Linked DNA regions of Medicago truncatula. The protein of the gene in region 2 interacts with the protein of the main gene of each other region in a pairwise test. Links are inferred from orthologs where the notes say so. Each region holds a gene or a part of one and is shown on either strand. Other genes may lie near its edges.

The links. The genes of interacting proteins can lie anywhere in the genome.
Region 1: the proteins of transcription factor TCP9 (region 2) and transcription factor bHLH47 interact in binary tests that used the Arabidopsis thaliana proteins (3 or more experiments, as listed by UniProt). The link is inferred for Medicago truncatula from reciprocal best matches to the Arabidopsis thaliana genes TCP9 and PYE.

The regions. Positions count from the first base shown.
Region 1 is NC_053045.1:52,936,198-52,943,600, reverse strand, and holds transcription factor bHLH47, read left to right. Parts: upstream 1-4,687; 5' UTR 4,688-4,893; intron 4,894-5,185; 5' UTR 5,186-5,234; coding exon 5,235-5,281; intron 5,282-5,659; coding exon 5,660-5,778; intron 5,779-5,983; coding exon 5,984-6,111; intron 6,112-6,364; coding exon 6,365-6,745; 3' UTR 6,746-6,896; downstream 6,897-7,403.
Region 2 is NC_053049.1:13,108,489-13,115,294, forward strand, and holds transcription factor TCP9, read left to right. Parts: upstream 1-4,720; 5' UTR 4,721-4,866; coding exon 4,867-5,868; 3' UTR 5,869-6,298; downstream 6,299-6,806. Other genes in the region: uncharacterized protein, read right to left, coding at 356-633, 742-1,054.

The sequences.
Region 1 (7,403 bases), on a different chromosome or scaffold from region 2:
TATAACACATTAGAAAAAGGGATAGAATGAAGGCACTGTACACCTCAATTCCTAACATTGCCATGTTCGATAAGAGTTCTACGACCAGCTTTCACTCTATTGGAGGCACTGTACACCTAATGGTACAACTTTTTTTCTTTGGTGGATCATTCAGCTACGAGTATATATGAGCTTGTAGTCATTTTCATGGTCTAATTCTCAATGTAAATATTAATTGTTAAGATTTAATCACATGAAAAGAGTCTAACCCAAAAGACTAATTTGTTAGGTGAAGAGTATTGTGGCTTAAATACGACATTGAACGATTTTATCTATTTATTATAGGATTCGTATCAAACTATTGTTTCTTCCTTTTCTATCACATTTTTAACATGTGCGAACTGCGAAGCAGCTGAGATATGTGTAGGGATAATAAAGATAGAAAAAATGAAGGATCAATATTAGTTGGCTTTGAGTTTTAGTAAATTTGTAACTTTGTCTATGAGTGCTTTTGATTTTATATGTTGAAACACAAAAATGGTATTTTGGTATTTTTTATAATGTGTCCTCTCCAAAAGAAAAAGAAAAAGTTTTTCCATCGTTTAGTGAGGGATAAAAATTCTTGTTTTTGTCTAGTCCCTTGCTATCTATTTTGTTTAATGATTAGTTTCTAAATCAAACAAAGTACATAAAAGTTGTACAGTCCAGTCTTTTGATTTTTAAGAAGTCAAACGTGCCATATATGACTCTCTAAACTATTCATTTTCTCTAGTTTAAAAATTCATTTTGATCATTTATCTACTTACTAAATATATTAAGGTTACCAAAGTCACCAAATCGTAAAGGTAGCCAATCAATTTATAAAAAAAAAAACGGAGAGATGGTAAAGAGTGATATAATAAAAAACGAAGAAGGGTGAGTTTTGTTTTTTTGTCAAAAGAAGAAGAGAGAGATAGAATGAAATTAAGAAATGAGGTTTAAAGAAATTAAATTTTTATATTTGAAATGTGTGTACAGTACCCCTTTTTTTTTTTTTTGAAGGAATGTGTGTACAGTACCTGTTCTTAAATTAAGTTTGGGTCTAACAAAGAGGACGAGCCCAAACCGAAGAAACGAGACTTTATAAAAGGATAAAGGGTAGAGATATCGTAGACATGACACATTCTTAAATACTAGGTTATTCATTTGATTGGGGCAACCACTAGCCCTTGACGACAACGGTAACCTGGACTTGTGCTCTTGACAACAACACTTACAAATGAACCAACCATTGAAGGTCGCAAGTGTGTATTAAAAAGTTTGTTTAAAATATCCTTAGTTGAAAAGAAAATCAAATACAACAAGTTGATTATGCTATCAAATTTATTGAGAGTGTTGTATTAAATAACTTTAAATCTTTTATTATAGGTAAATGCTATTTTTTTCCTTCAAATAGGTAGATGTTAGTAATTAATTAATTGAGAATATGTCATTCTAGTAAAAAGTTATATTTTCATTTTAAAAAGAAATTAACTTTCATTCACAAATATACATCCTTAAAATTCACTTGTTTTCAAAAAAAAAAAATTGGACAACTTTTATTTTTTGCTAAGCCTGAAAAACTTTTATATCATTTTCCAAAAATGTTGCAGCATTTCAAATTCCTAACACCACAAAAATACGTTATAGAGTAAACGATGTCTTTAACTTATAAACTCATCTTCAGCCATTATCTTATCTAATATAATACCAATGATAAATAGAGACACCCATTAAAAGTAAAACCTCCAGTTTGCATATCATTATTGACTGGATACTGAATTTGTTAAATCTTTAACACAGGCACAATTGATAGTGTTTAAGGAATGGGCTTTATTTAGTGTTCAACCTTGATGTTTTTTAGGGTCCAAAAATTTGAAACAACGAATTTGCTTATAAACACGCCTTACCTTCTCTATGTACACTACTTTCATTCACTATTAATCTTGTCCTAACCCTTAAAAATATAGCTATAGACTACTTGTTTTTTTGAAAAAGAGTTATATAGACTACTAATACGGGAGGGGACTGTGTATTTCTATTAATCTTGTTATAACAGTACTTAAATATAGTTATAGACTACTTTTATTTTTAGAGTTATAGACTACTGATTGGGATGATGATTATTTGTGTTATTAAGGAAGCTGTACGTACTCTTCCTATATTATTAACCTAATTCACTAACATGTACTCCATCCGATTTCAATTATAAACAAAAGTTTACTTTTTCATTAAAAATTTGATGCAATGTAATACATTTTTGTGTTAATTTACTTTTTACATTTTCAGTTTTAAAACAACAAAACATAATGTATGTTTGGTTCAGTTATGACAAAACTTTATTTTGAATAAATTGATTTTATAAAATTGATTATGACTAAAAGTAAATTTAAGATAAAATTATTTAAATTTGGATACATTCAGGTAAAATCAATTTAAGGTAAACAACAAATTTTATAATCAAAAGCTTCAAATTAGAATGAATTTGGGAGACAAAATCAATTCAACTCTAGAAAAACCTAACATATCAAAAAATTAATTATATATCTCTAGAACCAGTTTTAATTCCTTCAAAAGTAGAATCAAACATGCACTTAAATTGTTTTGAGAAACAATTTTTAAAAAGAAGGCAACAAAACATGTTTATAATTTTCAAATTTTAAAAAATAGAAAATGGTTGCTGCAAGAATTTACTTCCTAATCGTATACTAGGTCCTTAAAATGTTTTGTACGGACATATTGTTGATGCAAGAATTTACTTGCAGATGCACCAGATAAGCAACTTGTTGCTGCAACTGCAAGAATCTGTGATGCACCCTTCAAATATTATTCTATGTTATGACACACATCCGCAAGCTTCAATATTGGAGCTGTGTAGGCCACTTTGTTCAGATTTGGACATGTCAGTGACAAATATACATCTAAAATATGAATCTGTTTTGAATATTCTAGTTAGTTTGCAATTACTTGACATCATCTTCCAATTTTAAAATGGATTTTGCTAATACTTACGTGAGCATTGGCATGTTTGAATGTAGTCAGAGGCAGTAATATATAGTTGTAAATTAGCTTTGCACAAGAGGAACTTACGATGACGTGGGTCATATCTCTTATTCCCGTGTTCTTATCCGTACGTAGACCGTGGTTGCCACACTCTTAACAAATATGGTAAAGCTTATATCATGCATTTGTGAGGAGTCCACACGCATTTCCCAGTTTTGTAGTATCTTGATTGACCAATCACCATGATTTTTTTTTATTTTATTTCAGGATTGATCAATTCAAACATGAACATCTCAACAAGACAACAAACCATTTTGAAACTATTATGTTGTTTGACGAAAGAAATGTAGTTAAAATGTATAAAACGGGGATAGAACCCCGGATGCAAACCTCAAAGGTGCGCTCTTTACCACTAGACGACATCATACATATGCAGGCACCGACCCAAGTGGAAGTTTATGTGTGCCATGACCCTCACGATGTTTTGATTTTTTTTTTAATTTATTACTTAATTCTCTCTAAATTTTATTAAGACCCCCACACATAAAAACCAATATACTAATATTTAATACATTAAAAGTCAGTTCTGTAAAAAAAATATACATTAAAAGTCGGTCTTCTTTCAAAAAAAAAAAATACATTAAAAGTAGATCTCTTGTCTATGTTATGAATATTATAAAAAATTATACGTTAAATCATACAAAAAATGAATGATTAAAGTATTGTTTGATTATTTTTATTCAAAGTGATATTTTCATTGACATCGAATATGAATAAATCGGTTAGTATTTATATAATATGAAAAACAACATAGAACAATTACGATGCATATTTATGTTTTAAAAATTAAAATATTATATATCGATCTGTCCCAAATTTACATATATATGTGGCCTAGACCACTCAAAATTTCAGGGTCATGTGACATAGATGTGCAAATATATATATAGACACATATATATACCCTCTATTTGATTAAAAATATGTATATATACCATTAAAAATGAAAGTTTTGAGATTTTTGGGAGGCCATGGCTTTCCTATATCCCCACATAGCTCTGCCCATGCTGTCAAGCATGTGTCCCATAGGTAACTTGTTCATGTTGTGAATTAATGGAAAATAACTTTAAATGGGAAAGTTAGTCTTCAAAATTTTAAAACTATGATAATTATTAATTTATTAACATTTGTATATATAAAAAATTAACAAGTATTCAGATATTATTTTGAAAAATTCAAAAATTAGGAAAGTATTAAAAAATTAATTTAGTTGATAAAAATAATAACAAAATTTTGATAATTATTTAATGTTTTTCAATCAACTCGTTATATTTATCCTTCAAATAAATCAACTCATTATATTAATATGATAAAAGATTATATTTATAATTAATCAATTAGAATGGTGGTAATCTCCTAAACTTATCTGAACTAATTCTTATACATAAAATATCACTAACAACCATTTAGACGACATCATCTAGTTTGTCTTATTTTTCTTTAAAAAAAGAAAGAAATTGATCCCTTGACCAAAAAAAAAGAAAAAAAAGAAAGAAATTGATCCAATAGAATTTCAATAAAATGGAAGGAAAAAAAAGGAAAAGACAAAGAACACGTGCTGAAGTGATTAGAGATAGATGATCGAAGCGAATGAACATGACTCTGCCACGCGCCTTCGTGTGACAGGTATCCTCCCGCCACACTCCTTTCTCATAAAATAACCAATCCTCTTTTCTCTCTCCTCTGCCCTAATTCTAATTTCAAATTAAATTAAAATCTCTTTCATTTTCATTTCTCGATTCCAAATCAAACTTCTTCATCCTTCAACCTTGATTCATACTTCAATCAACATATTCTAATTCCATTCCTTCTGATTATTCTTCCACGAACCAGGTTGGTGAGCCAAAAAAAATCACTTTTTTTTTTTTTATGATTAGATCGTTTTCTGTTTGATCCATTGAATTTCATGTTATGGAAATTAAAGTTAGGTACTTTGGCTTATTATAATCCTAAATTGATTGAATCTGGAAGCATGGGTTTTATTTACTTTGTCACTAGTAGTGAAAAATTAAAATGAAAATATTCAGATTTTTCATATTCCTTTTATTTCATTTATTGGGTCCTTGTTTTTTTTATCAGTATCGTTTAGGGTGTAAATTGAAGTAATTTTGTTTTTGTACTTTAGGAAAATTGTTGCTGAAGAATTGAAGACAGGGATAGCTGGTTTTGTTCATATGGGATCGGAGAGTGTTGCTCCTATGATTGAGCCATCAAATAACAGGTTAGAGATTCAGAAATTGTTTTTTTTGTTAATACAGTATATTGAACTTCCATTCTTTCACTGTTTTCCTTTGAAGAAGTTTTCTGAAATGATGTGATAAATTTGATTTATTTACTTGGTTTGGGTATGAATACTGAATATATAACTATCTATTTGTTTTCTTTGATTGAATTTTGAAGCTGTTAATAACTTCATCTGGCAGTAATTGTTACTACTACTTGTCGCAAAATCACGAATTTTAGATTTAGCCATAACTGCTTAGAAGTAGCAGTGATGGTAGTGACAGTGATAGTAGTAGTCATGATACCAATAGCATAGTTTTTGTGGAACAACATATTTGGTTTTGGACTCAATATGTGTACGCTTGATTGACCTCAGGTCTGATCCTGGTACAATGAAGCAAGGGAAAGTCCCTAAGAGAATTCACAAGGCCGAAAGGGAGAAAATGAAGCGTGAACATTTGAACGAACTCTTCCTTGATCTTGCCAATGCTCTTGGTAACTTCTTATGCCTCTGTTATTTTTCTTTAGTCGCATCACTATGTTCAAATTTTACTGTTTACCTGCTTGCTCCATTCGATATGACAGTTATGTTTTATATTTACTTTGTCTTGCTGTACCATATCTGATATGTTGCTCGAATTTGACTTTACGTGCATGTTCCCCCCCTTTTCTTTTGGTGTTTTGGTGGTGATGGGGATAGATCTCAGTGAGCCGAACAATGGAAAGGCTTCAATATTGATCGAAGCTTCTAGACTGCTAAAAGACTTGCTCTGTCAGATCCAGTCCCTCAAGAAAGAGAATGTCTCTTTATTGTCTGAATCTCATTATGTAAGATTGGCACTTTTTTCCCTCCTTTGATCCCATCATTTTACCCTGTTGAGAATACTGCATGTTGAATTTTGATGTTTATGTGGAAAAGCTTTTATTGTTTGCTAGTTTACTTGAAATCCATTCCGTTTGTGTTACAGCATTCTGGCCAGTTACTTACTTGAGCCGATTAGCAATACGTCACAATTTGATGTCACAAATCAACACACTATTTGACCTGCGTGTAATTCATGTGATTGGCTTAATTGGACAGGTGACCATGGAGAAAAATGAGCTAAAGGAGGAGAATAGTAGCCTAGAAACTCAAATTGAGAAGCTTCAAGGCGAGATACAGGCAAGAATAGCTCAATCTAAACCTGACTTGAATGCGCCTCCTCAATTAGAGCTTGAGTCACCAGAGCAGACAACTTTTTCAGGACAGAGTTTCCAATTGCCTACCGTAGATCCTACCTTGCAGCAAGGACCTACTGTTTTAGTCGTCCCCTTTCGTCCCGATCTTCAAGCTGCTTACCCAGCTCCTACTGAGATCACGCCAAACCCTCCACTTGTTATCAGTAAACCTCATGCCAGGTATCCCACACCAGCAGATTCATGGCCATCACAACTGCTTGGAGAGCAACCAACTTCTAGCTAAACATGTTAATTTGTAGAGTTCTAGTTTATGTATTGCTATAACCAGCCAATTACCTTATCTAATTGCAATGCTGGTCTGGAGCTGTGTATAAATTTTATATATTCAATGATCTTAGAAAATTTTACTCAATTCTATTGTGCCTTAGTTGTGAGTTGAGCTAGTTCGACTTCTTTTTATTTTTTTCTTTTCCATGAGCTGAGCTGAAAAGATGTAGCCTATGATCTTGGCAGTTGGTGAAGATCATATGGTTGAGATTTCAAGTTTCCAATTTGCCATAGTTAGGATGTGAGTCATCATTTGTTCTGGATCCAACTGATTGATTGGTTGCAGGAATTATTGACTGCAATGAAAAAAAGATCCTTGGTTTTGTGGAGATTATTTTATTGTGCTTTTCCTTGGGACCGTGTCTGATGATTGAGCCACAGAAATGAGTGGATTCGTCTATTCTAGTTCTGGGATGAAATCTTGTCTTGACACTTCTTTTTGGTAAGATTTTAAAGGGAAGTGACTGAACAATGAACATGGGAAAAAAGTCACCTTTAATTTCGTTTTTTCGTTTTCAACACATAGGGATAGAAGAAACTGGTCAACTTTTTATCTCTACTTTGGTAGAATGGATTCCGATTATGATTGAATGGGAAATGCATTATCTTGGCAA
Region 2 (6,806 bases):
AAGTATTTATCACTTTTAAGCCTAGTCCCATCCAAAATTGTTCTTGTTCTTGTAATAATAATAGTAAAAGAAAAAAAAAACAAATTGGTTTTGAATTGGAGTTTGAGTTTATCCTATAGGCTATTGAAATAGTTATTCTATGTGTTGGTGATGATACAAATAATTTATTAATAATAATTTGTTTTAAAAAAGTTTAAGCCCCACATTACTCTTTTTTTTAACAAACTAAAATGAGATATATATTATGAACAATGGCGATTTACCGTGCACAAGACATGCAAAAGGTAAACCGATTAACCAAGATACAGTAGTAAGGTGCTATTTTAGAAGAGCACCATAAAAAAGTTACAGAAAATTACACAATAACACCCATGCAAGGAATTGGGTGTTTCCACCAGTCATAATAAGAATAAATAAAAGATGTATGCGATGCTTTCAGCCACATAAAAGAGTTCAGCTTCACTTTTTCAGCTAAAGAAGAAGGATCACAAACCGTTTCTTGGAACACATGGTTATTTCTTTCCTTCCAAATAGCCCAAACATAAGCGAACCAGATTACTTTCAGGAAATAATGAGTGGCTCTAGGCAATCCGACCAAATTAGAGAATTGTGTAAAATGCCGCCGAATATCACCTGGAAACACCACAAATAAGCCTAACCAATGCAAAATATGATCCCAATGCGTACTAAAAATATTACAGATGCAAAACAAGTGATTTGTGGTTTTATAAGCACCGCAACCTGACACACAAACCGAGTCTGCTATCAGAAGAACTCGCCGATGAACCAAGTTGTCTCTAGTAGGAAGTCTATTTCGGAAAAGGCGCCACACAAATACTGACACCTTAGTGGGTATGCTCTTATGCCAAACATCTTCAACCAGAGTCCTATTCCCAGCGTTACCATTATCAGTGAGAAAGCGATATGCTTCCCGTACCGTGTAACCACGGGAAGGATCTATCAACCAAATCCAAGAATCATGAACATTAACCTGCAAAATGACATTAGAAAGTAACATAGAACATTCCTTCACACTTTCCTCCTCCCACGCCATTAATCTTCGCCTCCACGCCCACCCCCCACCTCCAACCTCCCAACCTTCCCTACTCATATCCTCCACCGTACACTCCTTGCTCACAGACAAATAAAAAAGGCGGGGGAATTTACAACATAAAGGTGTATCCCCAACCAATTATCATACCAAAATAAAGTATTCCCCACATTACTTTTTAATAGAGATCTTAGAAGTCTGCTCACTTGAGATTGGGTTAAGGATAGTGATTTCAAGAAAAATTCTCCGATTGTTAAATCTTTTGATACAATGTGAGTAATTGGATGTGATAATTCTTGTCAATTTTAGTTTCATGAAAGATCACGAGTTTATATATAATTTTGAGAATCCAGTAAATGGTACGAGCATAAGAGGTGAAACATGTTTGAGTTAAGTACCACGAAATCTACCCCCTTGTGTAAGAAAAACAAGTTCAATTGTCTTATTTAACATTTTCCAAAACAAATACATCAGCTCATTCAATAGCAAGATGCGAGCTTAGTGTTAATCAAAGTTTGGACAAAATAGTGAAATTAGATAAACTCATAATTTTAAGTGAGTTCGCCTTTTTTTTCTCGCCCAATTTTTATTTTACTTTGAGCTCATAAGCTCATTCAAAAAAAAAAAAAAACTAAAATTGTTTATTTTTTGAAAAAAAAAAAACTAAAATTGTTGGTAATTTTAATATTTAATAATTACATCAAATTTGTTATTCTTCAAATTAAAATTGAAAAGGATCTTTTATATATTAGGTCAAATACCCAGTGATCATTTTAAGTTAGATGTTTGTAATAAGTTAATCTTTTAATTATTTTTTGTTAGAAATTATTTCTTTAATTATTTTCTTCTAACATATCAGTCATTTAAATCTTCACCAAAAAAAAAATATCAGTCATTTAAATCATAAAGTATTTTTATTGTTATCCATTTTCATCCAACTTTGTTAAAAATTGCTTATGATCCCATTTAACATTGAGATGACAATTCCAAAAGTGTTTACGAACCTACCACAAAGAATGGGTTTCATCTTATACCGAACATCTGAGCGGTGGATACCACATTGTTTTGAAAAATCAGTCACATGTTATGCTCCTTCAAATGATCCATATACACGTCAACCAAATATTTTGAAAATAATGACGAATTTCCTTATATTAAGATCAATATTTGCAGTTAATTATTCTTATAATCTTCATTAAGAATTATGTGGTTTTAAAAAATCAATGATTTTTCAACTAAAATATTCTTCAACATTTTGTTGAAAACCCAAAATCATAATTTGTTGAAGCAAACCTATCTGAAATATGAATCATTCACTATTTCTTTCACGTATCCTATGATGTATACTCTTCTACAAAGATACACACACATGCACACAAAACATGCTTTCGATACATTGACTATTGTGACTTTTCGATTTCAGATCTTTGTCAATGCTGTCTTTTTTCTATTATGTTTTGTTTTCTTTATTTTGTTTGATTTCTTTCCAATGAATATAAGTTGTAGTTTGTCATTAAACTTTCTTAGTCTAAAAGCACAACAATTTCCTTATCATTTTCTACATGATGTCATTTCTTATCTTAATCTCTTACGGCAAAGGGAATTCCCACATTGATGTATCTTTTGGGCTATCTTATAATTTCTTACTTTTTAATTTTGTTTTTTCATAATGATTTTCAGTTTTTCTGATATATTATATTCTACTGTTTTGGCTAAGTGTGTGATATTTCGTGTTCTATCATCAGTCTCGATGGACCATTTTTTGTTTTTTCTTTTTCTTTCCATTAAATATAGGGTTTTGTTAATTTATGTTCTTTCAGTACATGCTACGAAATTTAAATGTAATATTTTTATATCAAAAATAAAAATGTTTATACTTTAAAAAATTTAAGTGCACGATTTATGAGACAAAAGTATTATTCTCCTAAGATGGCAATATACTAGCAAATTTGTTAAGAACATCCTTTAACAAAACTCTCCTTAGATGTATGATCAATTAAATGCATTCAACCTTAGATGTATGGCCAATACTTTAATTTCTTGTAGGAAGTTCGTGTCAAAAAAACAATCTTGTAAGAAGTTGTATACGTGTCATTTCTTGATAAAAAAAGTATAAATTAGTATCTCACTCATTTAAAGCAAAAACCATTCATACATGGGACTATTTAATCAAAATAATTCAAAGTTGTTAGCTTGATAAAAAAAAGTATAAATTAGTATCTCACTCATGTAAAGCAAAAACTATTTATACAAAATAATTCAAAGTTGTTAGCTTGATAAATATAATATTATAAATTCTCTCAAAAAAAATATAATATAATAAATTAATATCTCACTCATGTAAAAGCAAAACTATTTATACATGGAAATGTTATTTATAAAAATAATTCAAAGTTGTTAGGTGAGATATTATTAATTCCTGGAATTGATCGGGTGGTAAAAATAACTTTGAACGGATGCATAATTCCTTTATCCTAAATTATTTCTATTAAAAGAACATTGTGAATTTTTTTTCAAAAATGTATTTTGACATTTGATACTATATTTTGATTTTCTCTTGTACATTATAGTGTAAGTAGTCATTTTCGTCTATAAATGTGTAACGAATAGTCACAATAATCTGTGTATCGAAGTTCTAAAATAGTTTTTGATTGTATATTCCGTCAGTTAAAACAGTCTCTGACCTAGAAATTATTTTTTTTGATGCTCATAGTAACTCTTTTCTTACAGAAATTGTATAACATAATGTAAATACCTATATGGATTGATACGACAATATTAGATTTAGCCGATCATTTTAATGTCAGAGATTATTTTGACTAACATATTGCACAGTCAGATAATATTTGGAAATTTCGACGAATTGAGAGACTATTGTAATATTCATTACACATTATGACTATTTACCCTACATTATATTTTGATATTATTTTATTTTGCTTTGCATATCAAATCATCTTAATTAATTGTTCGACGTAGAAGATATCCAATTCGAACTAAGACAAAAATCAAATCACTTTTTAATGGTGGTCGGGGTTCGAACCCCAAACCTTGACAAAAATCAAATCGCAAATAACTCTAAATGTATTCCATACGCTATGCAAAATCTGTTTTTTATGTAAAACTAACACTCCTCTTCTTTTTTTACTATACAAGTAGCATTATGTTTTTAACTCCATTGTGTCGCACAAAAACTATACCATATTGACTTTCACACATACAAGATCATAAAAAATGCATGAGATCATATAAGAAAAAAGATTTATCCAAATATAAAAAAAACCTATATACAAAAAATATTTACATAAAAAAGAATCATTTCCCTTATCCTTCAAATAGTTCATGCCATCATCAATTAATCATGCAAGAAAGAATCTTATCAAGTTCCATACTCTTTTTCTTCATTTTTTTTTCTTCTTTTCATCCTCTTCCTATCCTTCACTCTCTTTTTAACAATTGTTTTGTGTAGTTTGCCAAACAAGTGTATAACATTGACCAAAACCCTCCTAACATTAACCCCATAAGAATGGACCCATCACATGGATTAGTCCTTATCATAGTGGGTCCAATAGCGATCACCGTAGATTTCTTTCCATGTAATATCATATAAGACGGTATCATAAGGGTCCCATCCTTCTATATCACTGGTTACTACCTCCCTCTATGTCCTACATTTAATAACAACCCTTTCACTCTTCATTCAATCTCAACACTCTCTTTGTGCTATATATATTCACACACTTTCATTCTCGCATTCAAATTCTATACCAAATCTAAATCATCTTCCTTATCCATTACCTTCAATTTCTTCATTCATGGCTAAAGAAAATTCTACAAACATTGATCTCACTCTTGGAGAGCCGAAAGAAGAACCGGAAATAGAAGATGTATCGGCGATAAAAGTTATGCCGATGACCATGCACGTGCCACCGGGGATACCTATGTCCATGCAAGTGAACAAAGCCTTGGTTCAAGCCCAAGCCCAAGCTCAAGCTCAAACCCAGGCCCAAGCTCAAGCTCAAGCCCAACAAACAATTCAAAAGAGATCATCTACAAAAGACCGTCACACAAAAGTCGAGGGTCGAGGCCGAAGGATCCGAATGCCTGCCACATGTGCAGCTCGGATCTTTCAGCTGACCCGAGAACTCGGACATAAGTCCGATGGCGAAACAATACGCTGGCTCCTCGAACACGCGGAGCCAGCTATCATTGCCGCCACCGGTACCGGCACAGTCCCAGCCATCGCCATGTCAGTCAACGGAACACTAAAAATCCCCACCACTTCCCCAACCAAAAACCCTAACCAAGAACCAAACCAACAATCCGATGAATCACCTGAGAAAAAGAAACGTAAACGACCATCAAACAGTGCTTACGTAGATATAAACGACACCACTGTTTCTGTTTCATCCGGTTTAATAACAACCTCAAACATAAACACAAACACAAACCTAAACCTAATTCCTCAACAACCCACAATTCAGTTACCACAAAACATGGTTCCTGTTTGGGCTATACCATCAAACGCTGTTGTACCAAACGGAAACACTTTTTTCGTTGTTCCAACAAATCAACCACAGTTTTTTACATTGGCTAGACCAATAACCGGTTTTGTTTCTTCCATGGTTACACCAGTTATTCAAGTTCAACAAGCTTCATGTTCTTTATCTCCTTCAACAAAGTCTCCAGCTAGAGCCACCGTGATGGCTCCAAGCACGGCGGCAACAACCACTACTCAGATGTTAAGGGATTTTTCATTGGAGATTTATGATAGACAAGAGCTTCAGTTATTATCAAGGTCTTCTTCGAAGCATTGATAGAACCATAGAACCAGAGAACGTTGAATTTGGTTAACGATGTTGTTTGAAAAGAGAAGAGCACGTGGGCACGTGAGTGGGGAAGGGGAAATGGTGGGGTCCATGTATGTGTGGGTCAACTAGAAAAGTGGGGGGAATGTGGGGCCCAGTATTGGTGGTGCTGGCTTCTTGAACCGTGCAATGGGGGGTACTAGTAGTACTGTTATTATTCTACTCTACAGCTGCCAAAATTTAATTTTTGGATGTGTAATAAGAATATTATCAATTAAAATTAGAATAAAAATAACCGTTATTCATGGTTTTATAAAGGTTTTATTCTTGATTTTAAGTTAGTATCCCTTGAAGTTATGTAATTAGTGTACTACTTAAAATCAGTTACAAAAATGTTCTTTAAGAATGTATTAATACTATGTAATTTTTTTGGTGTAAATTAGATATCATTTGTGCATGCAACTGTGGAGACTAATTTTTTGAGTCTTGTAAAATTTAAATAGATGATTTTTTTTTGAAAATCTCCTCTAAATCAGTAGTATAGTTATTGAAATCATGAGCATCATCTTGTAGGTTCTAGATTAAGTAGTAGTTTCAGGTCCCATAGCTATTGTTCTTGATACCGGATTTTGCGCATTGCTTGAAATAAGTTTTTATAAGATCTTTATCAACCAAAAATTTTGACTTTCGATTTTTAACGTTGATGCATGGTCAAGACTCAATTCAAACTTAGAATTTAATTAAACTAAAAGAAACTCGTGATATATCATCTACGCGTTTTTAGGTTAATATCGATAATTTTATTAATTATTTTGTTGTACGTATCTCTATTTTATTTTTTGGTTTATTTATTGGTGAAAATGGATATGGGTCCACCTCTTATTGTGGTCATGTGAGGGTGGGTGAGGGACCCAAGGGAGGAATGGCCTAATGGGTGGACCCAAAAC